Lonchura striata: one gene and its partners. The protein of the gene in region 1 interacts with the protein of each later gene in a pairwise test. Links are inferred from orthologs where the notes say so. Each region holds a gene or a part of one and is shown in the gene's direction. Other genes may lie near its edges.

What was found.
Region 2: the proteins of EXOC5 (region 1) and RAB4A interact in binary tests that used the Homo sapiens proteins (3 or more experiments, as listed by UniProt). The two-hybrid records come from large-scale screens. The link is inferred for Lonchura striata from reciprocal best matches to the Homo sapiens genes EXOC5 and RAB4A.
Region 3: the proteins of EXOC5 (region 1) and EDRF1 interact in binary tests that used the Homo sapiens proteins (3 or more experiments, as listed by UniProt). The two-hybrid records come from large-scale screens. The link is inferred for Lonchura striata from reciprocal best matches to the Homo sapiens genes EXOC5 and EDRF1.
Region 4: the proteins of EXOC5 (region 1) and RAB14 interact in binary tests that used the Homo sapiens proteins (3 or more experiments, as listed by UniProt). The two-hybrid records come from large-scale screens. The link is inferred for Lonchura striata from reciprocal best matches to the Homo sapiens genes EXOC5 and RAB14.

Annotation. Positions count from the first base shown.
Region 1 is NC_134608.1:4,354,922-4,362,540, reverse strand, and holds the start of EXOC5 (exocyst complex component 5), read left to right. Parts: upstream 1-4,598; 5' UTR 4,599-4,722; coding exon 4,723-4,749; intron 4,750-7,619. UniProt on the Homo sapiens protein: Component of the exocyst complex involved in the docking of exocytic vesicles with fusion sites on the plasma membrane.
Region 2 is NC_134605.1:43,369,740-43,377,662, reverse strand, and holds the start of RAB4A (ras-related protein Rab-4A), read left to right. Parts: upstream 1-4,873; 5' UTR 4,874-4,988; coding exon 4,989-5,019; intron 5,020-7,923. UniProt on the Homo sapiens protein: The small GTPases Rab are key regulators of intracellular membrane trafficking, from the formation of transport vesicles to their fusion with membranes.
Region 3 is NC_134609.1:29,692,361-29,700,505, forward strand, and holds the start of EDRF1 (erythroid differentiation-related factor 1), read left to right. Parts: upstream 1-5,054; 5' UTR 5,055-5,149; coding exon 5,150-5,215; intron 5,216-6,826; coding exon 6,827-7,035; intron 7,036-8,145. Other genes in the region: TEX36 (testis-expressed protein 36), read right to left, coding at 1,806-1,937, 2,802-2,849. UniProt on the Homo sapiens protein: Transcription factor involved in erythroid differentiation. Involved in transcriptional activation of the globin gene.
Region 4 is NC_134624.1:9,483,419-9,491,119, reverse strand, and holds the start of RAB14 (ras-related protein Rab-14), read left to right. Parts: upstream 1-4,633; 5' UTR 4,634-4,822; intron 4,823-7,701.

The DNA of each region.
Region 1 (7,619 bases):
CGGCACGCACCTCAACCGTGGGGTAGCGCCTGCGGGGAGGGGATCGGAGAGGCTCAGTGCCACCCAAAACATCACCCCAAACCACAGCGTCCAGGGACACAAGCACCCAAGCCCTCTTCTGGCTGCAAAAGCATGATAAATATCTTGGGAGTACTGATATTGGGTTTCTCTTCATTGTTCAAACAACTCCTCAAAACCCACCGGGCCTACAAATAAGCTCGTGTACGTGGAAGCCTGCAGCAACCTGATAGAAGCAGTGGTGGGATCGGAACATGAATCACGGTCAATAAAACCATTCCATGAGTAGTTAGGATTCTTTCCAGCAAGTAAATACATTCTCATGAGTAAATACCTACTTTTTAAACTAAGTGTGAATATGTCCATCTATGCTGTCACACAAGGGTACAGGATTTTTGTATGACTCCCACCAGTGCAGAACTTCAAAATATTTCTAAGAGGTGACATCACACTGAAGACAAGTTCTCAGATATTTAAGAAAATTTATGTTCTATGTAACAAAATGCAACTACAACAGCTTTTTGCCTAGATATAGAGTCTACTATATGTAGATAGTGCTACAGCTTTGCTGCTATAACAATAATAACTCCACACTGCACATACAATATATGTGACTTAAAGCTTTTATGACTTTTTCATAATTTCATTTTATCAAGTATTTAAGATGTAACAATAATGTCATGGACAGAGGTTTTGTACAACTTAGAATTGCTATGTTGTACCAATACATATATTTAATTTCAAATTTTCTAGAGATAATATTTGAGGAATATCATATTAACTGTTTAAAACTATATCTGGGATTTTTATGTCCTGCAGTATTGTTGTTTAAAGGGGAGTGGGATGAATTTCTTTTCAAGGTAGCCTAAGGAGGAACTAAGGAGTTGACTTTTAATAAATAGCTGAGAAAATAAAAAAATATTACTTCCATGACTGCACTGGTTGTGCCCTGGTTTGGAACTGCAGACTCCCCTGAGTGTCTCTTACATGAAGTTTGCTGACAGCCTGGCTTTCCTACATTCTGTTTTGTGGATTCCCTCAGTAGTTATCCACAGACCCTCAAAGTGCCCCTCACAGGTCACACACACAAAATTAAATCACTTTATGGATCATCTTGAAGCAGATGTTCTCAGATGTTTGTTTGCACTCAGACCCAGGCTTGCATGCCAACATGGAAGAAAAAAACTGCACAGATATATAAAGGCTCTCATTTGCTGTCCCTTTTATACCGTCTTTTTTAGGACACATTGACAGCCTGCTTTCCAAACTGCCATGGAACTTGCAATCCCAGCAACGTGGGACTTTGTTTTATCTATGACCTCCATCTGCAGCACTTCCCTCCTGCTCCTGAGCACTTCCATGGATCTTATCCTCTTGCCTCTAAGTGCTCTACATCATTTTCTCTTAACTGAGTAGCTGGAGGCAACTACACTTCCTCAGGCTTATTTACCGTGACTGTGATTTTTTTTTCTTTCATTCCTAATCAGGCATCAAGGGCTTTTGGGGTTGTTTTTTTTATTTTTGTCTAAACATAGACAGGGCAAAGCCACAGCGACAAAATTCGTAAACAGGATACAGATGACAGCAAAACACCTCCCTGTGGTCCCACATTTTATTGTGAAGAGCAAAGAAACCAAGTGGGTTTACAGCTATAAAATTTATGAGGCTTTGCAGAGCCAGGGTGTTGATAAGAGGTTATGTGCAACCTTGGTGAGCAGCTCTTCTTTTTGGCCAACGTTTCCAAAACAAGGGAAGAGGAGATATTTCAGTCTGGTTTTGTCTTAGTCAAGTCCCAGTCTCTCTGCTGCATTTGCTGAAGCTGTCCCCACACCACAGCAGCCTCCTCCTCCCACTGAAGTCATTAGATCATTAGTTAGCCCTTCAAATCCCCGTTTTTCAGTATTCCCTTCTAGAAAGTGATGCAAACTTAAAAAAATAAAAAAGACAAAAGTTTCCAAGGATGAATGAACTTCGGTGACTCAAGAGGGAGACCATCCTTGTTGCCTGAATTAAGTTATGATCAGCTAAAAAAAAAAAAAAAAAGAGGGGGAATGCTTTGATGTCCCCGATGTCTTCCCTGAGGTCAAAGATCAGGGCTCACGTATCTCCAGCTGAGTGCCTAAGTCCTGAAACCAACAGTTTCCATGTGATCCGGGCATTCTTTATATTGTCTGCGTGCTTTGTTGAATTTAAGGTCAGTTAGGAGGATAAACTTGGGGCTTCCACAGCCCTATTATTTCCTCTGGGAACTTGAAAGATCTAAGTCTGGAAATCACTTGAAGCATCGAGGATAGTTTGCCCTTTTCAAAGGAGTGCTACTCCTTGTCTCTGCCGCTCACTGTGTGACAAGTCACTTCAGACACCCCTGTCAGCAGCCCCCCCTGCTCCGTGGTGATTACACTCTCCGAGGTTTTGGGGACAAGGCTTTCTCTTTATCTGTGTTTGTAGAGGGGAGGCCTCATCTCTAGTCCTGTAGGTAATACAAGGACCATAATACTAATCCTAAAACAATCAGAGGAGTGTCCAATGGAGAGATCTGTCTGCACCTGAAGATGGAAGATAGTTGTTTTTTTTATTTTTACTCCTAAGTTCTCTCTTTGCTTTTACTAAATTCAGACTAGGACTGTAGGTCACTTTATCCAGGACTTTTTTTTTTTTTTCCCCACAAACTTTCCCTAGCCCCAGTTATTTTTCTTCTCATTATCTGGCTTTCTCTGAAGTCACAGAAGAAGAGTAACAAAAAGGGTAACAAATCTTGCCAGCCCAATAACAGTAACCCGCTAAGCCAAAAGTCTTCCTTTATATCTGCAAGAATTCTGTATAAAAACTGTTCCTTTGGAGAACTCTTTAGTATTCAATAACTTAAAAATCCCCCAATAACTTTTTAAAAAAGTGTTTATATGCACAAATTAGCATCAAACAGAAAGCTGAATTTCTGTCTGAAAGTACTCTATTTTACCTACAGCTACAGAGCAACATGAAAAAAATATAAGGAAAATACAAGCAATAATATATGCTTATATATCTGTTTTGCCCATTTTTGTTAATCTGACAGTATTTCACAATCACTGCCTTGTCCTTTACCATGTTAGGAAGGAGAAGAGCTGGGCAAAATGTTTACAGTGACAAAAAAGAAAGAGGAACGGAGCAAGGAAACTCATGCAAAATGCAGAAGCTGTGAAAAAGCTCCCATATTTAGTTAAAAGCACATTATGTGACTCTGATTCTGAACTTTCTAAAATTGGAGTCAGAAATGCACAGCATCCAGCGGCGCTGGCACGAGACGAGGAATTTATTCAGTATCAGATGGTTTTGGTGGTTTTTGCATCCGTTTTGGGGGCAGCATCCTAGACCCACAGGGCAGCAGTGTCCCCCCAGGACACCCAGACCCCCAGAGCACCCAATCCCCCCAGGACACCAGAATTTTCTGCAGAGCCCCAGAGCACCCGATCCCCCCAGGACACCAGGATTTCCTTCAGGGCATCCAGACCCCCAGAGCATCTGATCCCCGCAGGACACCAGGATTTCCTTCAGGGCATCCAGACCCCCAGAGCACCCAATCCCCCCAGGGCACCAGGATTTCCTCCAGACCCCCAGAACACTCAATCCCTCCAGGGAACCAGGATTTTCTGCAGACATCCAGAGCACCCGATCCCCCCAGGACACCAGGATTTCCTTCAGGGCATCCAGACCCCCAGAGCACCCAATCCCCCCGGGCACCAAGATTTCCTTCAAGACATCCAGACCCCCAGAGCATCTGATCCCCGCAGGACACCAGGATTTCCTTCAGGGCATCCAGAGCACCCTAAACCCGCAGGGCACCGGGATTTCCTTCAGAACATCCAGACCCCCAGAGCACCCGATCCCCCCGGGACATCAGGATTTTCTTCAGGGCTTCCAGACCCCCAGAGCACCCGATCCCCCCAGGATATCAGGATTTTCTTCAGGGCTTCCAGACCCCCAGAACACCCGATCCCCCCAGGATATCAGGATTTTCTTCAGAGCTTCCAGATCCCCAGAACACCCGATCCCCCCAAGATATCAGGATTTTCTTCAGGGCTTCCAGACCCCCAGAACACCCGATCCCCCCAGGATATCAGGATTTTCTTCAGAGCTTCCAGACTCCCAGACCCCCCTCAGGAACATCCGCGCCCCCTGAGGGCATCTGCTCTCCCCAGAGCGCCCGCCTCCCTCCAGAGCACCCGGACCCCCCAGAGCATCCGCTCCCCTCAAGAACACCCTTCCCTCCAGGGCACTCGGATCCCTCAGAGCACCTGGATCCCTTCCAGATCACCGGGACTCCCCAGCCCGACCCTCGGACTGCCCAGCTCGCCGTGCCCGCGGTACCGTCGCTACCTGGAGAAGAGCACGGCGCCGCCGGCCGCGCCTGAGGAGCCACAGCGCCCGCAGGGCCATGCCGGTGGCGGTGCCGGTGGCGGCGATGGTGGCAGCGATGGTGGCGGCGATGGTGGCAGCGATGCCGGCGGTGCCGATGGCGGCCGGGGAGGAGCCGCGGCCGCGCCGTGGCCGCCCGGCGCGGCGCCATTTCCGGCGGGCGGAGGCGGCGCCGCGGCCGCCGCTGCTGCTGCCGGGGCGGGGGGACACAATGGGCGGCAGCGGCGGGGCGGCGGCGGCCACGGGGCGCTGAGGGGCCGCCGCCCTCCTTCCCTCTCTTTCCCTTTCCCTCCCTCCCTCCCTGCGGCCATGGCCACCACGGCCGAGCTCTTCGAGGTGGGTGCGGGCCCCGCGGGCGGGGGGCCGGCTCGCCGAGGGGACGCGGCGGGCTGTCGGCGGGGCAGGGCGGGCGGTGCGCGGGGCTGGGGAGCCGCGGTGCCGCCCCGCGGGGCGCGGTGCCCTCCCGGCCCCGCTGCAGCGCCTCGCTGCCGCACGGCCACGCCGGGCCCGGCCCCGCGCTGCCTTGCCCGGCCCCGGCGCGGTGGGAACGGCGGGGATGGAGCGGAATAAAGGAATAAAGAGTTTGCCCTCCCTTTACTCGAGGCGAGGAAGGGGAATAGCTCGGCCAAGGCCACGCAGGAGCAGGACGGGAATAGCAGGAGTCTGTCAGATTCTTCCCGTGGGATTGCGGAATGCCCTAAGTTGGAAGGGATGCACGAGGATCGTCTCCCTCCTGAAGGGAGCCTGCCAAAGGGATGGAGGGGGAATTCTTACAGAAATGTGTAGTGACAGGACAGGGGGAATGGCTTCAAGCTGAAAGGCTGGATATTAGAATACTACCACTCTCGACTGTGAGGGTGTTGAGGCCCTGGCACAGAGAAGCTGTGGCTGCCCTGTCCCTGGCAGTGCTCAGGGCCAGGTTGGATGGGGTTTGGATAGTGGAAGGTGTCCCTGCCCATGGCAGGGGGTTGGAACAAGATGATCTTTGAGGTCTCTTCCAACCCAAACCCTTCTGTGATTCTGTGGCTTCAGCTTCTGGCCTGGACCATGAACTCTTGTGATGTGGCCTGTGTTAAACAGAAAGTGTGGTGTCCCCACTTCCTCTTCACCCCTGTGTCATGGTGTCATCCCCAGGTGTCCTGTATTTGCTCTCCAAGTCACTCAAGAACTGTTTGTTTTTCTGGTGGGTTATTATTGGGACTCACATTGCCCAGCCTTCAGGAAAGGGTCTTCCATTTTCTCTGGAAGAACCCATCTCTGGGGTTCATGTAAATGCACTGTGTGCATTTGAGTTTGTGAATCATTGTGATGGCACACGAGTGTTATGACTCACATCTTTTGGTTTGCATAGCTTTAAAAAATAGCAGGACTAAAATACTGTGTTCCTGTGGCTGGATGCCAGGTTTTGTACCCTCCCTACACCACTCTAGGAGCCCCTTGATTTCTCAACATGATGACAGTGCCATTCTATTCTTTGTGGGGTGTTGAGTGTGAGGTGATTTGAATATGGAAAGAAAACTGTGTTTTGGCTGATTTGGGTCGTGCAACAGCTTTTTCCATTTTGCAATAGCAATAAAGATAAAATTGCAAATTAGGTGAGACTTTTGCCTGGAGATTGGGGCTAGAAATTATGCCTTTCCAACATGGAATCCAGTATTTCTGTCTCTCCCACTTTCAGTTCACTTTCACTCCAAAGGCAAGAGAGTTTTTGTTGATGTCCGCTAATTTAATGTTGCCTACTTGGTTAGTTTGAAATTTTTGCCTTATATAAAAACATAAAAATCTGCTTGTTATGGGAGTAGCCCTTAGCTGTCTGCTGAGGATGGAATTTGATTACCATATTTTCATGAGTGTGTGTTTTAAGTATATTTCAGTACAGATATGGGAACTTGTGCAGCAGGATCTGTGTTGAAAATGGGCATAACATGGACTGAATTCTCCCTCACATAACTTAAAGCATAATTTAACAGTGGATGCTTCTAAACTGGTTTTTAAACTGGCTGTGTCCAGTGTAGCTTCATTTGTAAACACCAGATCAAACCAGGTTATGACCCACTTCAGGCATATCTCTTATTAAATCAGGAGTATTGGCTGAATGGATGGGATCACATTAATTCCTCTGGAGCCAGAGGGAAGTTCAAAGCTGGAGAAATTGACTGTTGGGGCTCATCTGATAACAGGCAAAGGACTTGCAAATGACATTTGTAATAGCTGATTTTCAGCAATTTCTGCAGACCAGGATAGGGGACTTAAAATAGGAGTTAGGCTGTCAGCTATGAGGAACCCTGTTATCAAGATAGCATTTAAAAAAGCAAACGTGTATGGAAGATACAAACTAAAGTAAGAAGTTTTGGATCTGCAGTGGAACCTGGAAAATCATGTCTTAGAAAGATACTGTTGAACTTCATTTATTCTATATAAATCGAGTAGATTATTTCTAGCACACCCTCTGTAGAAAATTGAAAAGGGAAGCTCATTTTATTTCTCTGTTGATCCTGCACATAATAGCCACTGCAGTTAATATTTCTTAAATAATATAAAACACTATTTATATGATTTAAAAACTGAAGGACAGGTCTCCTGTGTAAGTATTCTTGAAAAATCAGGTATTTTCCAGGAAAGGAGGTACAGGTTTGTGTACACATGAACTCAAGGAATATTTAGAGGTATATAGAGGCATGATGGGGTGGAGAAAGATTGGCATTATAATATTGTTTTGGGTTCTGAGGCATCTACATCAGATTTCCTTAGGGGAAGAGGCTTGCAGAAAAACTTTATGAGTGTTGTTTTACAAAAATGAAAAAATATTTAAAGCCATTATATGTGTGTTGGTGAATTATCTTTTAGTATGAACATCTGGGAAAGGGAGAAATGTAGAAAATGTTATCTGCACACACAGAGTGTTAGTAAACCCTTTATTCAGGGTTCTTCCATACTTGGCTTTAGCATCCTTGTAACCAGAGTGGTACCTCAGCTAAATTACAGGATCTTCAGAGGAAAAATTGGGGATTTTCATATAAAGGAGAAGTCCTGCAAAGAGCCCTGAGGTAATTGGGAAGCTGGAAGCCTCCCCTGAATGGAATGTTACTGCACTGAATGACTCATTTCACCTGTAATTAAATTACAAAAGTGTTCCAAACTTTTAGATCTCAAGATGGCATAAGGAGGGAATTTACACTTGGCATGAAACGTGGCATTGTGGCTTT
Region 2 (7,923 bases), on another chromosome or scaffold:
ATGTGTGAGCTGCACATGCTCACATTGACAAAAGTGTTCACAGATTGAGGGCAGCTCCAGTGGAAGCTGAAGATGACCATGTTCAGATGACCCCAGTTGTTTTCAGCTGGCAAGGACACTGCCTACAAGGCAGTCACAGCAATCTCAGAGGTTCCTCAATCACTCGTCTTCAGATTTCATTTGGGTTGCTGGAGTCGCATTCATTGCTGCTTCAGATCAAGCGGCTCTTACATATGCTGGGTTGCTTTCCATATTCGGCATGCAAGCAACAGTGAAGAGCAGCAGAATACATCATCCCCGTTTTACCTGAGCATGCCAGGTTGGACTGCGAGCCACACAGCCGCAACTAACAGAGACAACAGCAGCGTCCGGCCGCTGCAGTGCCTTCCACACAGCCTTGTGGTGCCACCTTCAGACCAGAGCGAGGCATCCCTGCCGCTCCCTCGAGGAAAAGCCCATCCCATCCGCAGCTGCTCTCCAGTCCCGGACTGCCGCCTATGACGCTGTTGAGGCAGGACGGGAATGAGATGACTCCGCTCAGAAGGCGAGAGTAAAACTCTGATTTATTTCAAAATGCATCGCTCTTTATAGAGAGCTTCATCCAGACCAATTCCATTGGTCCTGAAGTGAAAACAACGCACACCATTGGTGCAGAGTGCATGATGCACAGTGGTAGAATTTAACTATAAACAATGTGAACAACAAGAGAGATAAAGAATCTTATTTACATTCTTTTCCAATAGATGCCCAGGCTTCTGCCTGGTTAGAAACTCTCTGTTTCTCTCTTTGACTGAATCTGAGACCAACAGCCTACGGTGACGGTGAATCAAAAACACAGCCATGCTTCAGTTACAAACTGAACTTTGTTACCTTGCATTAAAAAAAAAGGAAAGGAAAAGCAAAAGAAAACAAACGGATCTGCCCCCTTGCAGTGCTAGGTCATTAAAAGCTGTGTCGAAATCTGTAAATCCCCGAGTCATATTATTTTATTTTGGCAGAGACCTCACACATCCTGAGTCTGGCTCCCATGAGATCTTGTGGGTCCTCTTCCATTCCTATTATGGTACACTGGTCAGTAGAAACTAGTAAAAAATGAGATTAGAACTTTCAGGGGAAACTTAATATGACCTCCTAAGCAGCAATTTTACAACTGTAACCAGTTAAAGGCACAGTAACTGTGGTGAAAAAATTTGAGATAGTGCATGATGTACACATCCAATTTGACATAACACATCTCTTTTTGCATAAACCAAAATTTTCTAGCAGATGTGATCAACAGAAATCATGTGAATTAAACATTTGGCATTGGGGTTTTTTTCACCTTTATACTTAAGATAGACACTGACAAGGCCAATTCTACCTACTCATTGTTTATTACTCAGGAAGAATGATTTTATTAATATACAGGCCTGACATTCTCAAGTTACTGAGGTATCAGCTATATATTTTCTAGCCTAGTGCAGTCTTTATTATTTCTGAATTTTACTATTTGTTCTAATTTAGTCTTCAAGGCAAAATTTCTAAAATACCAAATCCTATTCATCTCTCATGTTCTCCTGTGTTTGCTTTAACATTCTCCCAGCCTTCACTTTCCTCTTTAATATTAAATGTGGAGTTGCGTTATTTGTATGTTTTATTATCCCTGTATTATGTATTGGTTTATTCCTTTGTACCCCCGCGTGCAACTTGGTTTATCCCCAGTTTTCCCGTCTTGTCCTCCCTTCCCGCCTTTCCAGTATCTATCCATCACCCTGAAAGAGGCATTTTACCCCTCCCTGGTGCCTTGTCTGTCACTCGGTGTCCCTTCCCATCCATCCAGAAGCTTCCACCTTGGGCACCGGGTGATTGGGTGAGGACCTGGGGCTCCCCCCATATCCTTCCCCCATTGGACCCCATCATATCCCCCCATCCCGGAGCCACCCCCTATCCCTATCCCCATTGGTCGTTGGATACCCCTCCCTTACAGTTTATAAGCCAGTGCAAGCACCTTGTGCTTGTTCCTGTTGGCTGGCACCATTCTAGGATATTTGGCCCCGTTGGGCTACAATAAACTCGGACTTAGCCTCCAGCAGGATCCGCTCTTCATTTACCACCGCGAGGCTTGCTAGCGCTGCCCGGGACCCACAAAGGCACTCTCCAAACCCCAGCTGGGAGCGGCGGAGGGTGCCTCAATCTCCCACTCTCGCCCCAGACTGAGAGCTAGCCGGGGCGGAGGAAAAGGGAACCGGGGCGGGAGCGCGGCAGCTAAACTAATAGCTTTTATGGAAACCTTTACGATTTTGATGTGTTTTATTGATGGGTGCATATAAAATTCTCAGGAGTGATTGGAAGCAAAGGATTGTGGTATTAACACAATTACACATCAAAAAAACTCCATAAAACAAAGTCACCTTGCAAGATACACAAAATAAAAAAACATGACTAATTTATCCCTTAACCTAAAGTTTATACAGTGCATGAGGTCTAAATCTCCTTGTTCTCTCATATAACATGGATGTAACATGACATTTTTAGTAATCTAGTAAAATCTGTTTACTTCAGCATGTTTGGGGATTTCCTTTGGTTAAGACATTCCATTTGGGTTTTGTGTTTTTGGGGGTTTTTTTTGTTTGTTTGTTTGGTTGGTTGGTTTGTTTTTCTGAGGGTGGGGACAGGGAGGGGGGTTGAGCAAAAATAACCAGCATCTATCAGGAATTTGCTGATGTTAGACCAAACTTCTTTAAATCCCAATCTGAGCCTCAGAATGTACCATTTTGGGGGACAGCTTTCAGACACAAAGCTCACATCTGTGACATACTGGGGTCTGTTCAGCTCATGTGAAGGCTCTTCAGCTTTCCATGGCATTTTGGAGAGCAGATGCCCAGAGAAACATTCACATGTGACATCTTAGGCCTCAATATCCTCTGTACATCAGGGCTGTGCTGACTTTGGGGACCTGTTTATACAACCTCCAATTACTGTTAATAGTATGAATTCATTAAGGAGCTGGTTCTTTGAAAACTGTGGTGAGTTTCTTTGTCTGTTTGTACCCACAACAAGAAGAATAATCAGCAGATTCTCTGAGGGGCTCTTGGTGCTGGCTCAGCTCATGTTGTTCCACTGATTAGAGATGGGAACTTAAAAGCTGACTTCTGACCAGCTAAGGACTTGGCAAGGAGGTGGCTGGAACAGGCAGAGGCAGTTTTTCCTACAGCTTAGGAGATGAAGGAGAAGTGGAAAGGATGGGAAACTGTGAGCAAAACCACAAAAATAACAGAAGAAGAAATAAGAGTAGAGGAAATTTTTTAAGGACTGGAAGAAAGGAAAACGTGGAGGACAGACAGGAAATATAATTTAGGAATCACATAGATAGAAAGGCTGTTGTGGTGGGAGCTGAGGTGCTCTTTGCTGCCAGACTAACCCGGGGAGTTAAGACATGCAGAAAAGAGTAATACAGGCCAGGCACTGCTGGTATCGAGCCCCTGAAGATTTGAACTAAACTTTGCAACTTTTTTTGTTGTTATCAGTAGCTATAGCTGCACAGTTACGATTAAGCAATGGCACCGTGAACATTGTATGCTCGGCTACTCTTTTGTAATGAGGAAAAGGGAAAGCAATGCCAGGATGAATGGGCTGTCTAGACGACAGCCGGCAGGAGTGCAGTCGGCAGGACTGAGCAGGACCTGGGGGAAAGGTAATTCCGGCACCGGGAGACCACGACCGCCGACTCCCTGACCACCTCCTCACAACCGACCCCAGCCTCGGCAGCAGAGCAGAACTGAGCCTGCGGGCTACTTACCGTGAGAAAGGAGTGGAACGAGATAATAGGGGTTGAGAACTAATTCAAAGAAAAGTGATGTAAATTGTAACCAAGGAATGCTGACGCCTTTGTTTGTTAAAATGTAAAAACAGCAAAACGTTTCTGTGAGCGGGGAGCCAGCCTTTCGTGGGCCACCGCCCGGCTGCCCTGCCTGGCAGGAGCTGGAACAACGGGCGGTGTGCTCCGGGGTGTGCCCCGCTGTGCCCCGCTGTGCCCCGCTGCGCCCCGGTGTGTGCCCCGCTGTGTGCCCCGCTGTGCCCCGCTGTGCCTCGGTGTGTGCCCCGGGGTGTGCCCCGGTGTGCCCCGGTGTGCGCCCCGCTGTGCCCCGCTGTGTCCCGCTGCGCCCCGGTGTGTGCCCCGGTGTGTGCCCCGGTGTGTGCCTCGCTGTGCCCCGCTGCGCCCCGGTGTGTGCCCCACTGTGTGCCCCGGTGTGTGCCCCGCTGTGCCCCGGTGTGTGCCCCGGTGTGTGCCCCGCTGTGTGCCCCGCTGTGCCCCGCTGTGCCCCGCGGTGTGCCCCGCTGTGCCCCGCTGTGCCCCGCTGTGCCCCGGTGTGCCCCGCTGTGTGGCCCGCTGTGTGCCCCGGTGTGCCCCGGTGTGCCCCGCTGTGCCCCGGTGTGTGCCCCGCTGTGTGCCCCGCTGTGCCCCGGTGTGCCCCGGTGTGTGCCCCGCTGTGCCCCGCTGTGCCCCGCTGTGTGCCCCGCTGTGCCCCGCTGTGCCCCGCTGTGTGCCCCGCTGTGTGCCCCGCTGTGCTCCGGTGTGCCCCGCTGTGCCCCGGTGTGCCCCGCTGTGCCCCGCTGTGCCCCGCTGTGCCCCGGTGTGCCCCGCTGTGCCCCGCTGTGCCCCGCTGTGCGCGGTGCCGCGCACGGGTCCGGCCTGCCCGCGCGGGGGGCGCGCCGCAGCGGCCGCCGGCCCCGCGAGGGCAGCGGGCGGGGGCGGCCGGGCACGTGCGCCTTGTTTGGGGGCGGGGCCCGCGGGGGGCGGGGCCGCGGCCGCGAGCCGCCCCGCGCGCGCGGGGGAGAGGCGGGGCGCGCGCGGGGCCCGGGCGCGCCTGCGCGGCGGCGCGGGGCGGGGCGGGGCTGAGCCGAGCCGGGCCCGGGCGGCGGGGCCTGTTGGGTTCCCTCCGCCGTCAGCGCCGAGCCCGGCCGGGGCGGGCAGCGAGCCAGCGGCGGCGGGGGTCACCCCTCCCGGGATGTCGCAGAGTGCCATGTCCGAGACCTACGGTAGGATCCGGGAGCGGGGTGAGGGACCCCCTCTCCCTCCTCCCCTCCGGGGGAGCGGGCCCGGGGCCGGGCAGCGCCTCCTGAGGAGCGGGGACGGAGCCGGTGTGACGTGAGGGCTCCCCGGGCTCGGGCCGGGCCCCCTGCCCGCCGCTGCCCTCAGCCCGCAGCGCCTGCCCCGCCCGGGGTCCCGGCCGGGCCGGCAGCAGCGCTCCGAGCCGTCCCTCGGGGTGAGCAGGGAGCGGCTCGGGCGCCGCTCGCTGCTCCGGGCGTCCAGCAGGAAACTCGCCGGGAGAAGCTGCCCCCTCCTTCACTTGGGGACGGCGGGTGCTTCTGCGGGTCAGGTTAAGGTTTCGGTCCTGTTGTCGTAGACGTGCAGGCGTCAGAAACAGTTAACTCTGGGAGTGAGTTGAGGGGGGAAAAACCAGTCGGTATGTTCGTATGTCCCTGTGCTGGCATGGGTGTCTGACTTCCACTGTTAGGAAAACATCTGATGGAGTAAGTCGGAGTGCAGGCACTGACTGGGTGTGTCCAGTGTCGCCGGGAAGCATCAAAGAGAAGTGAGGAGTCAAAGAGGCGAGCAGAGCTGGTATTGCTGGCTAGGTGGAGGAGATGAGAAGCAACTGAATAGTATTAATTTATTTTCTTTATAATTTTACTTGAATCTCTGCTTTGACTATATTTCTTTTCTACCGTATCCATACCATACTGTTTTATAATATTTTCCAGTATAAAGATGCTGTTGTACATATGAACATACTCTAAAGCCATGTGGTAGGTTCACATTCATAGTCTGCGAGAGTAGGATCAGAATTGAGTGGAGGATAATTGAGTAATCAAAGCAAAATTGGACACAACCATTCTGGAAATTGTTTTGGAGGCTGGGATGTCCATCAGGAGTAGGCCAAGTGACCTGATTGTTTCTACTGTGTAATTTTATTTTCAATACTTTAGTCATCAGTGTTTGATGTTGTGTCCTAATGGTCATTGCTTCAGTGTACAGCAAATGCACAGAACTAAAGGGCAAAAAGCCCTTCAAGTGCCAACATTAAGATACCCAAACCCTGCTTCTTTTGTCCATCTGTTCTAGAAACATGTAGAAGTTACATATAGAAACCAGAGGGGTGTGCTTTGTCCACCTAGATTTGAGTTTAAACAAATTCTTCCTGCTCTGTACTCCTGTGATCTAGAACTGGAATCACTTTGGCTATGCTTATGGTGGTCTCTGAGAAAGAGTTGGTAGAAAACCAGATATGACAGCATTTCATTGGTGCTCCTCCTTTCATGCTGTAATGCTAGGTAAGCCAAACAGATGATTGGTATCTTAAATCAGAACATTGAAGTATTTTTTGCATTGTTCTTGTGATGTAGAATAGGGATAGTAAGCCCACTGGAGCTGTTGATACTTTCATATTATTTTGGTATCTGAGAAAACAAGCCCTTGAAGCTTTGTAGCTGTGGGCTGGTCCTGTTATTTGTTTAATTCTTGTTTGGTTTATTACCTTTTGGAGTTTCCGTGTTTGTTCTTATGCACACATAGGCTACAAAAATTTCAAAGCTAGAAGGCTGGAGAGTGTCAAGTTCTAGAGAACACAGAAGAATAAAATCTAAGTTATAGCATAAGGTTTAACTAATAGCTCTTCAATCTCTGACCGTAACAGTAGAGAGTAGCTAATTTTGCAGTATCCTGTCCACCAATGTAGCAGTCCCATTGACAGATCAAAGTTAGCAGTACCATGTGATTAAATTATGGATCTCCAGCGCTTGATAAACTCTCTAGATTTAATATGCTCACTGTCCTAACAAAGAGTGGTTTGTTGCTGACCAGCTGTCACAATGGCCATGGAGGATAGGAGAAGTATTAGGTCAGTTTCCTCCTGGTGACTGAGACTAGGGGTCACTGTATTCCCCTCCTGGAATCCCTGTAGCTTGTAAATCCTTAAATAATTAATTAGATTTTTCTTGTCACCTGAATTATGACCCATTCTAATTATGTAACCTCAAGCTTTTTATCCCACACATATAGGCTCAGGAAACTGGTTGGTGCTTGTGTTGGTGTTTTTCTTCACAATGTCATTTTGCTGTCTGTCTTTTATTTTATTTTAACTTTGCTGTGAGGCTTTAACTTCTCTTTCTGTTGAAAGAGGGGGTTATTTTTTTCATTAGTTTTCTCAATCCATAGGGAATAAAGAGCCTTTCCATTGGCCACTGCTGTTAATTTCATGTCTCCTGGGCTTTTTTACCTCCTTTAGTTTCTTCATCCATGTCAAATTCTGTCTTCTCTGAAGGTTTTCTGTTCACTCACTTTTCAAAACTTGTTCTGTCCATTATTGAGATTCTTGTCTCTTCCCTGTTTTCAAACAAAGTTCTGCAGCTTCTCAGCCTTGACACTAACTTTTGCTTACAATTCATATTTTCACTCCTGTAAATCTATTACAACAGTTGTGTATCTTCTGTTCTTAGCTTTCTTCTCTGTTCAATTATTTGTGTTCAATTCAATATCTATTCAATTCTTATGTGTTCAATTTATTTCCCGTACAAAGGGCCAAAACCAAACCAAACAAGAATACAAGACAACTCCATGAATTTTGAGACTGGGTTTAGAAAGAAGGTTTTCCTGCTGCTTTGGGGAGAAAAGGGTCTTTCTTTTAGAAGTTTGACATTTAACATTTGAAACAGATCTCTTATTCATAGGAAAACTCTTTTAACTCAAGTTTTCTGAAATGTAATGGCCTTTCTGTAGATAATTGCCATATAACAAAACATGCATGTTTTAGCTTGCTTCCCAATGCAAAATATACATGTTTTTATGGTAAAGACAGCCTGACAGAAAGTTGCTTACCCGTAATAAATAAATGCAAAGCAACCTTTGGATTTAAAATGGTAGAAGGATGGAAGTTGTACAAG
Region 3 (8,145 bases), on another chromosome or scaffold:
AAAGTGCAAATTTTCAAATAAGAAATTATATATTCTGTCTGCAAAACAGCAAAATGCTAGAAATGTGTCAGGACTCCTTTGCTTGATTTAGTAGTAGGCCTAAAGCTAATTAAAATAAACTACAAAAGGGACCTCAAAACTGAATTAGCCTGTGATTTATGAACTGAATGTCATGGACACTGCTTGTTGCAGGGGAAGTTGAAGAGGTATTAATTGCTTAACTAATTTATAATCTCATTCTTTAACATGATGTTCATTCAGTCTCTAAATGAAACTAGAGTTTCAGAAGAAACAAAAGACAACTCGAAAAGAGCTATTTTAGAAAAAAAATAACATATCTGACTCTTTAAATGTTTGTTATATATCAGTGCAATATCCCAACCGTGATAAGCAAAACAGCAAGTTTTAATGTAACACAGTGTAAAAGAGGTGTGTCAAGAGTAGGGGAACCTGAGTGAGTTCTAAGGATCAATGTGACTGGAGGCCTGATCCAGCAAGATTCACCAGACACAAAATGTGCCTGCACAGGGTCAGCTGCACGGTCAGATCTCAGGTTATTTGGTTTAGTAGGCAGATTCTCTTCCTTTTTTTAGGTATATTCACCAGTTCTCTTGTCTCATACTGATTCATCCAGACTGTAGTTCAGGGAATAAGTCAATTCAATAAATACATTCTCACACATGTATTTAAAAATAAGCACCTCCTGAGTCTGTAAATTTCTTCCTAAAATATCCTACTGAAACTAAATGTCAATGTCAACATTTCAGGAATAGTGTTTATTACCAGTGCCTAAACAAACTTCCTCAGACTGTGCCATTTTAGCCTTTAGTGGATCTTTGTGTTCTCACCATTGATCTCAGATTAATTCTCAATTTACAACAGGCAAGAATTTCCCTAACTCTATATAAAAGTGGAGGGCTGGTAAAGATAAGACATGCAACTTCAGATGAAGTCACACTGGTGTTAATAAAAGGTCCCTTTACCCTGGTTCTCCTTTTCAGGCAGTGGCTAAGGCCAGATGTTCCACAGGAAGGTAGATGTAATATTAACACAGTGTATACTCCTGTTACAGAATAATCTCCTTTTCGTAGCCCCAAGATTCCCATTTAAATATTCCTTCCAAGCCCTTAATTTCTGCCCTTCACTATGGCAAAACCAGTGACATGAACCCACTGCAATTGCTGTGCTTATAGAAAATGAAAATAAAAAATGTTCTGTTCCTAAAGCAGGTGGGTAAAGCAAAGCTCAGTGTGATGATAAAATAAGGACATGAAAAGGTGCTTACAACACTGTAATGTTTTAAATACAGTATTTTTTAAAATACTGTAATTCCTTTCATCCCAAAATTTTTCACAAATCTCATTTTTAATGAAGCCTTAAAAATGTTTGAAATCAGAAGCGTCTAACTTTTTAATTATAAAAAGAACACTCCTTTGTGTGAATATAATGAATTTCCAACATCCATTGCCAAACAGCTGATCAAATTTCCATTAAACCTTCTTACAGGGCTTTACACACAGGCTGTGGGCTGAGATTGATCATAATGTATTCGGTGTCTCAATAATAAGAGAAAATCAGCAGTAATACAGCAGGACTCTGAGCAACTAAAATTATGAGTGAGTAACAGGGAAATATGTTTCTTCCACAGCACAGGCAGCAATCACTCCATCCCCTGAGGCACAAAGTCTGCCAGCCCGCTGTGACTGCTCCGCTTACGACCCTGAGTGCTGTTCTTACTCACAACTTGGCGAGTGACAACTTGCAAAAGAGCTCCGAAAATCGGCTGTGCTGCCGCAGGAACTCACCTGCACCCGAGCTTTGTATTCCAGCGGCATTCTGTGTTCCTGGCCCACAGCGGCTACGGAATTCAGGACATGCTTTAGTGAAGCGCTTGTTGTTGATTCCAGCTCGCCCACCTCCAGTACATCGTGAGAGAACTAGAAAATAATGAGGATTATGGCCCTTTAAAATAAAAGCCAACTAAAAAAAAAAAAAAAACCAAACAAAAACAACAAACAACAAAACCTAAATAACAAATAAATCTGACCAGAAATGTGGTCAAAATGATACTGTCCCATTCACTTTTTATTACTTGGATTGCAGCAGCACCTAGCGGCGTCTGGACAAATGAGGAGCCTCGCACACCCACAACGCAAACCTTACCATAAAGACCTTCAAACGTAGATAAAATAACCAGACAAGAATTTTAGGACTCTTTAAGACAAGACTATCCAGGAACTTTCTGAAAAGTGTTTACACAGCAATAACCACCGAGGAAAACAACGACCTTCCAATCCCCCATGCTACTCCTACTGTAGTGCAAGTTTGAAAGCACAAAATTTTTGGGAACAGCTCAACCCAGTATCAGGCAAAAGGGTTCAGAGTGAGGAACAGACTGTGCCAGGAGTGTTACAGTGCCCTGGGATGCCAAGATGTCCCAGCCCAGCGTTTCTGATGGGATCAGTGTTCTCCTGGAGGCAAGAACTGAGGCAAGCCTTGACCAGTTCTCCAGAAGAGAAGGAAAAACAACCAGGACTAACTATCAAATAAGAGACCCACAGAATTGCTGGAAAACGGGGTGGGTGGGTGGGGGGTGCGGTGTGGAAATCCAGCCAGGGTTACTTAACAAGCCAGAACTTTTGCACACTAAAGACAGAGGACACTCTTTCCTTTTAAACCTCAGGAACAGGAAGACTTATTTCTGAGTAAAGGACAAAGTCACCCTTAGCATGGTGCTTTTTTGAGAATTTAAGGATCAAGAAGCCCTGCGGAGGACACGGGGGCACCTGCTTGGCCCTTACCCAGTCGCTACTGTGCCCTGCGCTGTGCTGAATCTTGTCCTCGGCCATGGCTCGATGTCACTGCCGCTCCCGGTCACTCTCCCGGCGCCACCGCGGTTCCCTGGAGACCTGCTCATGGAGCGGGCAGGGTGTGGAACCCTCCCCTGTGACCTCAGAGCCGCCCCGGTGTTTCACTGAGATCCACACAACCAAAAACGCCGGGCAGCGCCGCTCCCGCTCGTGTGCTGCAAGGAAGAGGGAAATAACAGCTCGTCAGAGGATTGAATGTTGAAAACAAATCAATTCTGCACAATCACTTCAGTGACACTTCACAGCCTGAATAGGAATGGGTGGGGGAAGGAGAGCTGGTTTTGAGGAAAACCCGAAGGACGTTAGAGATAGAATTTTAAGATGCAACTTCCTGCTCTTTTGAAAATGACTTTCCACATACACACATCTTAATTGAACACACACCCAATATCTACAGAAAACCTGGCTGCGTGTTAAGGAATTTTTTTTTGCTTTTGAGTTTTAGCGGTGGCTTGGAAACATCCCAACTATTTAACTGCAGCACACTTGGCCAGTGTAGCACAAACCAAGACATTGCCTCCTTGGCCTTGACAGACTGTAAAGATGACACTTGTGTCCTTTTTGACTTCAAACTAACAGAGACTAGGTTTAGATTGGATATTAGGCAGGAATTGTTCCCTGAGAGGGTGGTGGGGCCCTGGCACAGGGTGCCCAGAGAAGCTGTTGTTAAAAACGGGAGCACACTCCCGGTACTGAAAGCGATTTCAGCATTTATTATAATAAAAAGAAAGGCCTGAAGCAAGGGGGTCCACGGGCTGAGCAGGAGCGATCCCGTCGAGGATGCTGCGGTGCCAGCACTGGTCTGCTCAGCAGCGATGTCCCCGACGTTTCAGGTGGAGCAGCACAAATTCAGTGGAGCAGATACCCTTTTTATCCTGTTTTTTGTCCCTTTGGATTGGTTTCTTTTTGGATCCTTAATTTGCATGAAGGTTTAAGCCACTTGATTGGCCCATCACAGTTCTGTCCAGGCTGGGGTGGTGCACTTTATTTAGGTGTATTATGGTACGTTGAGTACCATATTTCTTATAACTACCCTTTTAACCCCTTTTACCATAACCAAACTAATAGTACATGCTTAACAAATATCAACCATTTTACAATAGTTTCTAACCTATTTTTAACACTGTGGCTGCCCCTGGATGCCTGGAGGTGTCCAAGGCCAGGCTGGACAGTGCTTGGAGCAGCCTGGGACAGGGAAAGGTGTCCCTGCCCTTCCAGCCCAAACCATGCTGTAATTCCATGATCTATATCCGTATATATACATATATATATATATATATATATATATATATGTGTGTGTGTGTGTGTGTGTGTGTATATATATGTCTGTATATATATATATATATATATATATATATATATATATATATATATATGTATATATATATATATATTAAGGCACATGTGGCTATAGATACAGATATAACTTAAGAGGAAGTCAGCATTTGTACTCCCTGACCAGTCATGAAGCATACTGCCTCTCGTGGTTTAGAGAATGAAGAATGCCATCTACAAGGAAAATAATAGGTATTAAAAATGCCATGTGCACTATTTAGGAATTACTTACTTACTGAAGCCATCACAGCTCAGCTTTTTGTTGAACTCAGTGTACAGTGTACTGCAATTTTCAATCCTCTCCCATGCTGAGATACCCCACCACCAAGTTTTCACTTGTTTCATTAAGGTCCCAGTTATCCAGGAAAGTCAAGCCTGGAGAAAAGGAGGCTCGGGGGGGACTTTCTGGCTCACCTGTGAAGGGCCTCGAACTGCGCCAGGGGAGGTCTAGATTGGAAATTAGCGAAAATTTATTCATGGAAAGGGTGGCCAAGAATTGGAAGGGCGGTAGTGGAGCCCCATTCCTGGAGGTGCTTAAGGAACGACTGGACCTGACACTCCTCGCTTTGATGTAATTGACGAGGTTTTTCCCACATCAACCACCTTCCGAGCCCGCTGGGAACGCCGCCTCCCGCCCGCCCCTCACGGCGGCACCGCCCGCCCCTCACGGCGCCGCCTCCCGCCCGCCCCTCACGGCGGCACCGCCCGCCCCTCACGGCGCCGCCCTCAGAGCCCGCCCCTCACGGCGCCGCCCTCAGAGCCCGCCCCTCACGGCGGCACCGCCCGCCCCTCACGGCGCCGCCCTCAGAGCCCGCCCTTCCCGCGCCTTCTCGAAAAGTCTCGCGAGAGGCGGCGGCTCCCGGCCGGACCCCCCGGGCAGCGGCTCCGCTCCCGCTGCCCCTTCCCGGACCATTCCCGCCCCATTCCCGCCCCATTCCCGGACCATGGAGGAGCCCTGCGGCGCGGGCACCCCTGCCCCGCTGAGGGGAGACGCCGAGGAGCCCAAGCAGGTGGGCGGCGCTGAGGGGCGGCCGTGCTGGGTGAGGTAGAGGGGCTGTGAGGGGGTCGAGCGGCGGCTACAGACACGGCCCCTGGGGGTGTTTTAATTGAAGCGGTGTTTTTGGTCCTCTTTCCAGTTTGTCAGGGCCGGAGTGCTGTAGGGAACACGCTAATTATGATTAAGCGTTAATTGCGAGCAGTGTTGCTGTTGTTATGCCTAAGTGCAGCGTATTTACGTAAGTGGTGTCCTGTGGAGCTGTTTTTCCCTTGACTTGTGTTAGTTCAAAGCTCCTCGCACACGGGTGACAGCTGCGTGTTTGAAAAGAAGTAGGCAAACACGAAGCTTGTTTAATTTATTATTATTTAATAATAGTAAGGTAGAAGCCTGTTTAGCTTTAATATTAGTGTTAATATACACCTACTTTCACAAACTTTAGTGGGAGATGTGTTTGTTTTAGCCTTTCTGAGTTATTTTGTGTGGTGTGGCAGCTGACGTTGGTGACACTTCATTCTCAGAGTGCCCAGGTGGGCAGGGAGGCCACTGTCACCTGCTTGGATCAGCCACAGTGTGGCACAGGACCAGGGCAAGGGGTGTCCCCCTGTGCTGGGCACTGCCGAGGTCCAGCCTCAAATTCTGGGATTGATTCTGGCGCTGTTAGGTCAGGAAAGACAATGAGGGGCTGGAGTGTGCGCAGGGAATGGAGCTGGGAAGGGGCTGGGAACTCCTGAGGGATTTGGGAAGGGGCTGGGAACTCCTGAGGGAGCTGGGAAGGGGCTGGGGAACTCCTGAGGGATTTGGGAAGGGGCTGGGAACTCCTGAGGGAGCTGGGAAGGGGCTGGGGAACTCCTGAGGGATTTGGGAAGGGGCTGGGAACTCCTGAGGGAGCTGGGAAGGGGCTGGAGAGGTCCTGAGGGATCTGGGAGGGGGCTGGGAACTCCTGAGGGAGCTGGGAAGGGGCTGGGAAACTCCTGAGGGAGCTGGGAAGGGGCTGGGAACTCCTGAGGGATTTGGGAAGGGGCTGGGAACTCCTGAGGGATTTGGGAAGGGGCTGGGAACTCCTGAGGGATCTGAGGGGGCTCAGCCTGGAACAAAGGGGGATCAGGGGGACCTTGTGGCTCTGCACAGTTCCTGCCAGGAGGGGACAGCCGGGGGGTCGGGCTCTGCTCCAGGAACAGGGACAGGAGCAGAGGGAACGGCCCCAGGCTGGGACAGGGGCAGGGTGGGCAGGAAGAATTCTTTCATGGAAATAAATGGTTGTCAAGCGTTGGAACGGGCTGTCTGGGGCAGTGGTGGAGTCCCCATCCCTGGAGGTGTCCAAGGAAAGACTGGATGTGTTGATCAGTGCTCTGGTCTGGGTGACAGTGCGGTGGTTCATCACAGATTGGACTTGATAATCTTGGAGGTCTTTTCCAACCTAAGTGATTCTGTGATAATTCCTAAAGTGAAGCTTATGCTTGACATGAATTGGAATAACTGGAAAACTGTATGTGCTGGGGAAAGGTAAGTGAATATAGGACTGGATTTTGCTCACTTAGCCTTAAAAATAACTTATTACAGAACAAGCCTGATAGTTTTAATTGCCAACACTTAAGTAGAAGGCTAATTTCTCTCTGGAAATCAGGGCTCGGTGCTGTTCCTCGGAGGCAATGAGGTGAAGAGCTGTGCTGTGGTGAAATACTCCTCAGCCCCTCCTCAAGCAGCCTTTGCCCGTCTGCAGGAGAAAACAGACCTGAAGCTGCCTCCTGCCAACTGGTTACGGGAAAGTGCCAAACTGGGACCAGCAGGGACAACCATTCTGGGCAACAGCAAGAAAAGTAAACCCTTCTCAAGGTAAATAACAGCAGCCCCTGTTTTTTTTTCCAGGCCTTTAAGAGCTATTGTGATTGTTAACTTGGATCCTATGTCATTTAAAGTAGAAAGTACAGGTTTAACCATAGCAACTAATATTGCTTTGTCTTAACTGTTCTCCCTCTACTTTTTCATCTGGAGTTGTTGCCTCTGTGGTCTGATCTTGTGTCATTAGTAAATGATTGATGATGTTGATTATTTACATAACACATAGAGATGGTTTTGTTTATTTGTTCACATGCCTTTTGACACCTTGCCTCAGACAGTCAAACTGACTTTCTGTTCTTCCCTGGTTGGCCCAGATCAAACTGGACTGGTTCAGCCAGCCCTTCTGCCTTTGCTAACAGGTGAAATAGAACGTGTGGTTCCCCTTGGAAACCAATTTATAGCTCTTCTGGATCTTTAGAAAGTGGACCTGACTAATGGCAAATGAAATATCACATTTATATCAGGATTTCATCTTTCTATCACACTATAGGTGAAATGAGGGGCACGCCCAAGAAGCAGTGTTACCTTTCAGTGTGGATGTTTGCTGAATTGTTGACTGAATTGAGTTCAGAGTGTTTATAAACAGGAGGCTCAAATCCTGTGCTGAACAAGCAAATTCACACCAAGTCAGGCAGTCAGTGAAATTTAACAGTTTGTTCAAGGTCTGTGTTTGCATCCTCATCATCTCTTTTAGGAGCTGGACTTTTCAGAGCAGAGTAACACGTTTTTCAGGTCTTTATGAATTTTTCATGTTTATTTTAGATATTGTGGTTGTCAAATAGAGGCTGGCAGTTCAATCTCTTTCTTTATTGTCAGTATTAAAAAGCTGATAACAAAAGTATAACTTACACATCATGTATGTTTTGGATTTTAGTAGTATCTGGATTTGTTTTAAAGAATGATCTGTACATTGAAATATTCCAGCTTAAGTACTTTGTAATTTCCTTAACGAGGGTGGAGGAAGAGACAACGTGTCTGTTACAACATGTAGGGCAATTCTGGAAAATGTGAATAAGAGGTAAAATTCAATTACAGCTACTCAAATGAAAGTCTTTAATATGCTTAATGCCTTAAAGAGAAACTCCTTGAAGAACTCTTCAGTGT
Region 4 (7,701 bases), on another chromosome or scaffold:
CAGTCATCCCTCCCGTGGTTGTTGTGTTTGAAGTTTGAGAAAGGAACATGATCCTTCAGAGCAATTTAGCAGGAAGCATTTTCTGTGAAACATTGTATGTAAAAACACATCTGAGAGCGAGTCAGACATCTCCAACCGCACTCAGAAACAATAGAAATTTCTAACTCCTTGCCTTTTTTATGGAGTTTTTCCTCAACACTACCAGTGAGTAGTGGTAAATCTAAGCCAGGCAGGCAGGCCACAGCCAGCTGTTGTTTTCTTTCACTCTCTCCATCATGTAATCGGAGAACTGTCTTGTGCTCTTGAGAGGAGCACTGTACCGAGACAGTGCCACCCTGCAGTGGGTTCTCACAAAAATGGTTTCTATGCCACCAACAATGCCCCCAGTTGCTGCTGGAATTGTGTGGAACAAAGACATGGTTATTCACAAAGCCAGTGGTGGGTATTTCTCCTCTGTCATGCCTATAACTGAAGAAGTTTTTTGTTACGCTTTTGTGTATGAGAACATTATTAACCAGAACATTTTAGGTGGGCTAAGAACCATCTGCCAATTTGATTCTGAAGTCTGGGAGAGCTGTGCATAACCAAACCTTTCATTAAATCGGGAACATCCTTTACAGAGGCACTGACACTGCACAATCACACAGTAACTCATCTACTTGATGTTCTGCATCATGTTCACATCCTATCATGCATTTGTAACATCATTACATAGCTAAACCAAAAATTCTTCACCTGTCCCTCAAATATGATTAATGCAAAATGACTTAGCCCTTTGAAAACACTGTGTTCAATTACTTTAAGTGCTGTTAAATTGCAATGTTTCCATGGAAATTTTAGGTCCCTGTTTCCACTATTCAGCTGGAAATGCAGCTACCCTTGTGCTGTTGAGGATAGAAAAGTGACCTTGGCATGCTGAAGCATTAGAGGGAGTTTCTTTCCAAGAAGTAACCTCTCAGTGCAGAGAGTGAGATCTGGAACCACACAGAGCAGAACCAAGAGTCTCTTGGTGTCAGAAATCACTGTGATTGATGAGAAGGACAGAAAAGTTTTTAGGGAGCCTTGTGCTGTGGCACTGCAAAGTCCTTCAGCAAGGAGACACCTTGAGGTGGGGCACAAACCCCTCCAGGTTGTTGCTGTCAGCTCCAGAGGTTGCTTTCTGTCCAGAAGCAGCTCTGTGTGGATCAATTCCTGCCTTGTGCAAGATGATTGACTCACAAAGCCTTTCACCACTGCCAGGATCTGGTCTCTGGGCATGTTGTCCTGTCAGCCAGGAAACCACAGCACTTGCATGCCTTTGAAAAGCAGATGCTGGTATTTTGCAGGCATTTCTATTGCTACAGTTTGGTTTTGTGCTAAAATATAAGCTACTTGCTAAGGACCCATCGAAGTATGAATGCTTGAGGATTACGCTCAAGGGATCAGAGTTGAAAGGTGAACTCCAAAATAAGCCAAATGAAGTCAGTAAAGCTCAGATTTAGCTTCAGTCAGGATAGAAGGAGTCATGGTGAGCACTGACCCATCAAGGGAGCTCGCTGCTGTATGTATTTGGAAGTATTCCTCAATATTAATGTTGAAGTTCCTGTGGAAAGGGGTACACTTCAATTCCATACTGCCATTCCCACAAAATATTGACAGAGAGAATCCAGCTGAGCTGCATCTACTGACACCAGAATTACCATTGGCCCAAATGTTCTTCTATTATTAATCAATTTAATTTGAAGCTTTGAGGCTGTACAAGTGCCAATGGGCTTGGACTGCCTGTTTTACATGAGATGAAGGAACTAAAAAAGATAAAGAAGGAACTAAAAAAAAAACCTTGACCACAGGAATATTTCTACAGACACCACAAAACTGAAATGGTAAGAGATGAAAGGAGAACTGGGCAACTCAAAAATAAAATACAAGTAAAGACCAGTTAGTCATCTGTGACCAATCCAGCGTTACGTGATCGACTCCCACAGACGTGCATTTCAAACTAGTTCCTGAAAAATCTTGTGTTTCTCCCCTCTCTCTGTCTAGAGAAACTTGAGCAAAGCCAGAAGATGAAGCTGGGGTTCGGGGGAAGATGACAGACAGAGAAACCTGACTTTTTATTGCCTGTTTGTGGCCTGACAGTTTAAATTCTGACAGTCTGGCCTGCTTACTGCTGTCCTTAGGGAAAAGAGTGTTGCAGACAAAAATTCCATTCAATCCCACACTCTTAATGAAAGCTGATGTGTAATTTAATTATATTTAGGTTTATTTTCTTACAAGGATGCATTCTAAAGAAGGAAGCTGATCCTACAGATCACTCTGTGTAGTTTATTTGCAAAGAAGAAAATCCTCAAGCCTTCTACCAACTGCATTAACTCAGTCTTTACTTTTCCTGGAGTTTGTGGTACAGAAATAAACCCAAGAGCAAGGCTCATGTGACCAGAAAATTTGGATGCTGCTCCCTCTTGACAGAAAGAGACACGTGGAAAAGGCTTTTCAAGAGTGGACTGACCCAGCAGAAATCCACAGGGAAGGGTGGGACCACAGAGGAGGATTCCATCCCTGGCAATTTGGTATTGTTACCAATTTAGTGGGTTTTAATTACTGTTGTTAGGTTCTGTCCAGATGTTCACAATGAATGGGCTGAAGTCAGCCTTTTCTCAATAACTGTTGTTGAAAAACTGCTGCAGGCTTTCAAGCACTCACAAGAATAAAGAACCAAAGAAATGCAGATGCTGTTACTCCATCCTCCTCGCTCATGTCTTCTGTTAACTTTAAACTTTGTAGGAATATTTGAGCAGAGCATATAAAAGCAGGAGCTTTGAAGCAAATCTGTATTGCCTTTTACATCACCTCAGAAAGGAAGGCAGTTTTAGATAAAATATATTTGGGAATTTCCGTTTAAAAGCTAAATCTTGCTCACATTTAGATAATGGCTTTTCATTTTGTTGCAGGTAAGAAACAAAATAATTCTATCCCCAAACCGCTTCTCATTTCTGTTCACAATTAAATAAACCAGGCTCCAGATTAAAGGGATTTTCCGAGTTGTTGAGTAATCCTGAGGTGTCTCCGTGGGCTCTGCAGGGGGAAGTGCCACCCTGTGACTGGAGAGGCGCAAACCCGAGGAGCCTGTGCCTGCCTGGGGGAGAGGGCTGGCTGCAATTCCCCCTGGAAAAGAAGCTGCAGCTCCAACCAGCCACTCCCACCCCGGGCAGGCTGTGCCCCCACTGCCCTTCCCATGGATGACAGCAATAATTACCTGTATGATTCCCTCTTGTAAAAACACGCAAACTCACCCTGCCTGCCTGACGCTACCAACACTGAGCCATAGATAGAGAAATCCTCAATGTATTTTGGTGTGTGATATCTGAACGATTCTGAATTAGAAAACCTCTCATTGCAGTGCCTGTGTTAACAGAATAATATCTGGGACAGTACCAGGGAAGTGTGCTTTTCTCAAGTCAGTAAACCAGACTGCAATTGTGTCACAACAGTCAGGTCATTTTCCGTTTAAAGACTCCCTCTCGTGGAAATCATTCTCACTGGCTCGTTTTGACCTATTTTTCTAGCAAAAGTCACTCCATATAAGGTTCTGCAAAACTTGAAAAGGGTTCTGTTGCACAGTTTTGAAGTTAGAACCCTGACAATAAGTGACAGGAGTCCTACATCTTTACTACATTGCCAGCAGATTTTGTATTTTTCTGTTGAATCTTTGCTTTTTATCACTCAGAGATTTGTTTAGCATGTAGATAAAGGGGAAAAGAATTCTAATTGTTTTTCTTCAGTGCTTTTTACTCTATGAAGTTTCTGCCCAGATAACAGGGAGTGTTATCTACCATGCAGTTTCTCCCTGGCAGAGGTTGAGTAATAATTAGGGGGTGGCTGATTCATGGAAAGCAGAGGATTCCCTGGCTGTTGCTCAACTAAGGAAATGGAATTAGTAATGTCACAGTAATGGAGATGGAAAATGCCCATGTGAAAATAGTTCCATAGAAATGTTATGGCAGTGGGGAAGCTGAAATTTAAATCTTGGACAGTGACCCACAGCAGAATCTGATATTTGCTGTAATGTTTGGAATTGAAACAAAATCCTTATTGGGGAAATTTATTGATATACTTTTACACCTCCCGAACCGCTGATTTATTTTTTAAATCCCGTGAACTGTGAGATTTGGGCAGTACGTTGCGCTTTTAGGTCTTGAGGTTCGCATGCCACGAGTGTTTAAAAAGCTGATTTAAATTATTCAAAGGCCAAATGAACACCTTCGAGCATTTCACGGGACGTTGCCAAGCACCGGGCGCTGCTCCTGGAGACAGACGGGGACCTCCGGAGCCCCTCAGGGCGCGACATCCCCGTACCTGCGCCGCGCCGGGCCGTGCATTCTCACCATTGCCCCGCGAGCTGGGGGTTCCGGGCGGGTCGCTGTTGGCTTCCGTGCCGTTTTCCCGGAGAACAGCGCGGAAATCCGGGATTTTCCGCGGCGCCGGCGGCCCCGCTCCGCCCTGAGGCGCCGCCGCCGCCGCCTGAGGGCGCGCGCGCCCGCCCCGCCCCGCGCGGCCCCGCCCCGCGCGCGCTCCCGCCCCGCCGCGCAGCGGCCGCCGTGATTGGCTGCGCCGCGGCGCCCTCGCGCCCACTCTTTGTGCGGCCCCGGCGCCCGTCGAGAGTGGGAGGGGAAACCCCGTGCGAGGGGCGCCGCCATCTTGGCTGCGGGGGTGATGGGGGCGCAGCGGAGCCGCGTCTGAGGCAGCGCAGCGAGCCCGGAGCGAGCCGAGCCACACAGCCCGCGGGGGCACCGGGCACCGCCCGCACGGCCGCGCTGCACCGCTCCCTGAGCCCCGAGCACAGGTACGGCGCGCCGGCACGGCCCGCCCGGCCGGGCCGCTGCAGCGCCAGGCCCCGCGCCGCGGCTCCGCGGGCCGGGGCGGGTCCCGGTCGGCCGCGCTCCGTCCCGGGGCCGCCCCGAGGCGCGGCCCGGCGGGCCCGGGGCCGGCAGCGAGGGGAAGGGGCGGCCGGGCTGAGCGGGGGGAGGCTGCGGGCAGGACTAGGCCGCTTGGCTCTGTGGCACCGCCGCCTCCCAGCGCTCCTCGGCACCGCCGCCAGCAACACCGGCGATATTTTTATATGTGTGTTCTGTATCTCCCCCTTACGAGCTGTTGCAGTTGCACGGAGGGTGTGTATGTGTGTATTGTGCCGTGTATGTGGCCGATGTGCAGCGTTATCTCTGCTTTTAATTGTTCTATTGACCTGTGCCGTCATGAACTTTGACAGAAAAATAACTTTGAGGGTTGAGGGAAAAGCCACTTCCTATTTGAGAAAGCAGCGAAAGTATTCTAGACTGTTTTTTTTTTTTTTTTTTGTCAAAGCTTATTGAGGCTAAAGAGAGCGAAATTATTTCCTTTCCAATTGTTTATTGCCTGTTTGCAGCACACGAAGTATCCACAACATCTGTTGGTAGCTTTGTCTTGAATTGGAGTTGTGCTGAATTATCGTGGCAGTAAAGCCAGAGAAAGGTGGGTGTCTGCACTGGAGTGCCTCTGGAGGTTACTCGCTGTGGCTTTTGCTTTAAAACAGGGTGGATCTGTGTTGGGATGTTTTTCAGAGGTGACAGAGCCCCTTAGTGAACAGGATTCCTCAGGGTGGCTGTGTCCTAAATCCCAAGTCACATCTTTTACAGGTGTTATCCTGTGGAGTGTATTGCCTGGGATTGATTCCTGTCCTGGTTTGGACTGCAGAGCCCTTGTGCTTGGGCAGTACTTGCTGATGGGAAGAAAATACCTTGGGCAGCTTAATTACTAAATGTCACAATTTAATGTGGTTTATAAAGGAATTTGCTAGCTTCCTGTAGGGATTTAAAAATGTCGTAAGTCTGAGTGCAAGGAAGAAGTTCTCTTTTCCATTTTATGAGTAACAAAAAAATGAGGAGTTCTTATGAAGGACAGCAGTTTGGAAACAAACCTGTTCTACTGGAGTTACTGGGATGTAAAATGTAAATAATACTTTAAAATTACCTGCTCACTTCTGGGCATCTAATGAAACCTGATTAAGATTGATTCTCATTTTGCTGAATCTTCCTGAAACAGGAGGTAGCTCTTAGTTAATATTTACCTAAAACGTCTGTGACTTGTGTTTTCCTAGGTGGTGACTCCAGAGTGTTCTGATTTATTGGAATGACAGAAAACTCTTCTGGTTTTCTATATTCTGTCCCAAATTTACCTCTGGACCTTGGTTCTCCTGCTGGGAACAGACATGCAACAGGTTGGAGTGTTCTGTAGGAAGAGAAGAGTAGGATAAGTGAGGAAATACAAGTGGATAAGGGGTGGCTGTGGGGAGGGACATGGCAGAAGGTGCTCGAGCTGATGAGGACGGGTAGGCAGTGATTAGTTCAGCTCTGCTGCTGGGGTGTGGTTAGGGAGAATTGAAGTGTGCATGTATAAATGCAGGAAGCAAAATGGAGTAACTTAATGAAGCAGGATGTGAAACCAGCAGAATGATAACCAGGACAACGTGGATGTGACTGGAGAGCTGGTGAGGAAAGTCAGAAAGTGAAGGTAGTGTGTTAGGTAGCTTTGATTTAAAAAGAAAAATGAAGCTCTCCTGGAGGAAGGAGAAGTGAAGGCCTGTGAAGCCTTTAGAAGAACCTCCTAGGCCTCAGGCTGGGCTAAGGTGTTTGATGTGATTAGGGAACACAGCAAATGCATTTCTTCAAGAACAGCCTGGAAAGGGCTCTGCAGGGCTGCAGTCTGAGCCCCAGAGCCTGCAGGCCTCGTGTGCTCTCAGGGAAAGAGTAACTGGAGGTGGGAGTAGTAAGGAAATGCAAAGTGATCCTGGACAGCAGCTCCCAGAGGCTGCTGGGTGAGCAGAGATCAGCTGAGCCAAATTTCCTGTCTTGTGCTGATTGGCTGCTTTGGTGAAATCCAAGAGGGGGAAGCAAGGGAGGATGACTCTGGAAGAGCTGAGGGATGAGTAAGGAACTGGCCAGCAACAAGTGATGTTGTCAGACAGGTGTGAAGGCTGCAGCAGGCTCTGAAACTCCTCAGGAATCAGGCTCAGCAGGGCTTTGTAAAGCCAAGCCTGCAAAAATGAATAAATAAGCAGAGCACAGTGGCTGCAGAGCATCATCTTAAAGAGGGCTGAGATGTTGATGTGGTTGAGGAAGACCTGAATGTCCTTGGTGTGTGAAAGCCAGAGAACCACAGTGGAATTTAATTGTAGCAGACCTCATGGAGTGCTGTGGACAACAGACCTATGGGAATTCAGTGCTTTGGTGAATTAATTGATAGCAGAGCTGTTGTTACCTTCAGTGTGCTGTTATCTGACAGGTGACCATAACTGAAGCACTCACAGACTGTTTCTAGTAGCCTGCTGAGGTCAGGTACCAGTTGAACCACATTGTTCTGTGTGCTTGACAAAAGTCTTATCAGGGGAAAAGTGCAATTACAAAATGAAACAATTCTACCTCTTTCCAGCTCCTCCCCCTTACCAATCTTATTGTTGTCTGTTAATTAACATCTAAATAATCTACAGATTCAACTGTGAGAGCTTTTAGTACTGCACATCCTTGGGGAATGATGCACAGAACACCTGGCTGCCCAGAGAGACTACAAAATGCTTTTTGCTTCAGAGTAGCTCCCAGTGGTTCCCTGGCTGCAGAGTTCTGTCCTTTGCAGGGAACCAGGAACAGCTGGGCAGTGCTGAGTTTGGAGGTGGTAGTTTTTTCCCCAGCT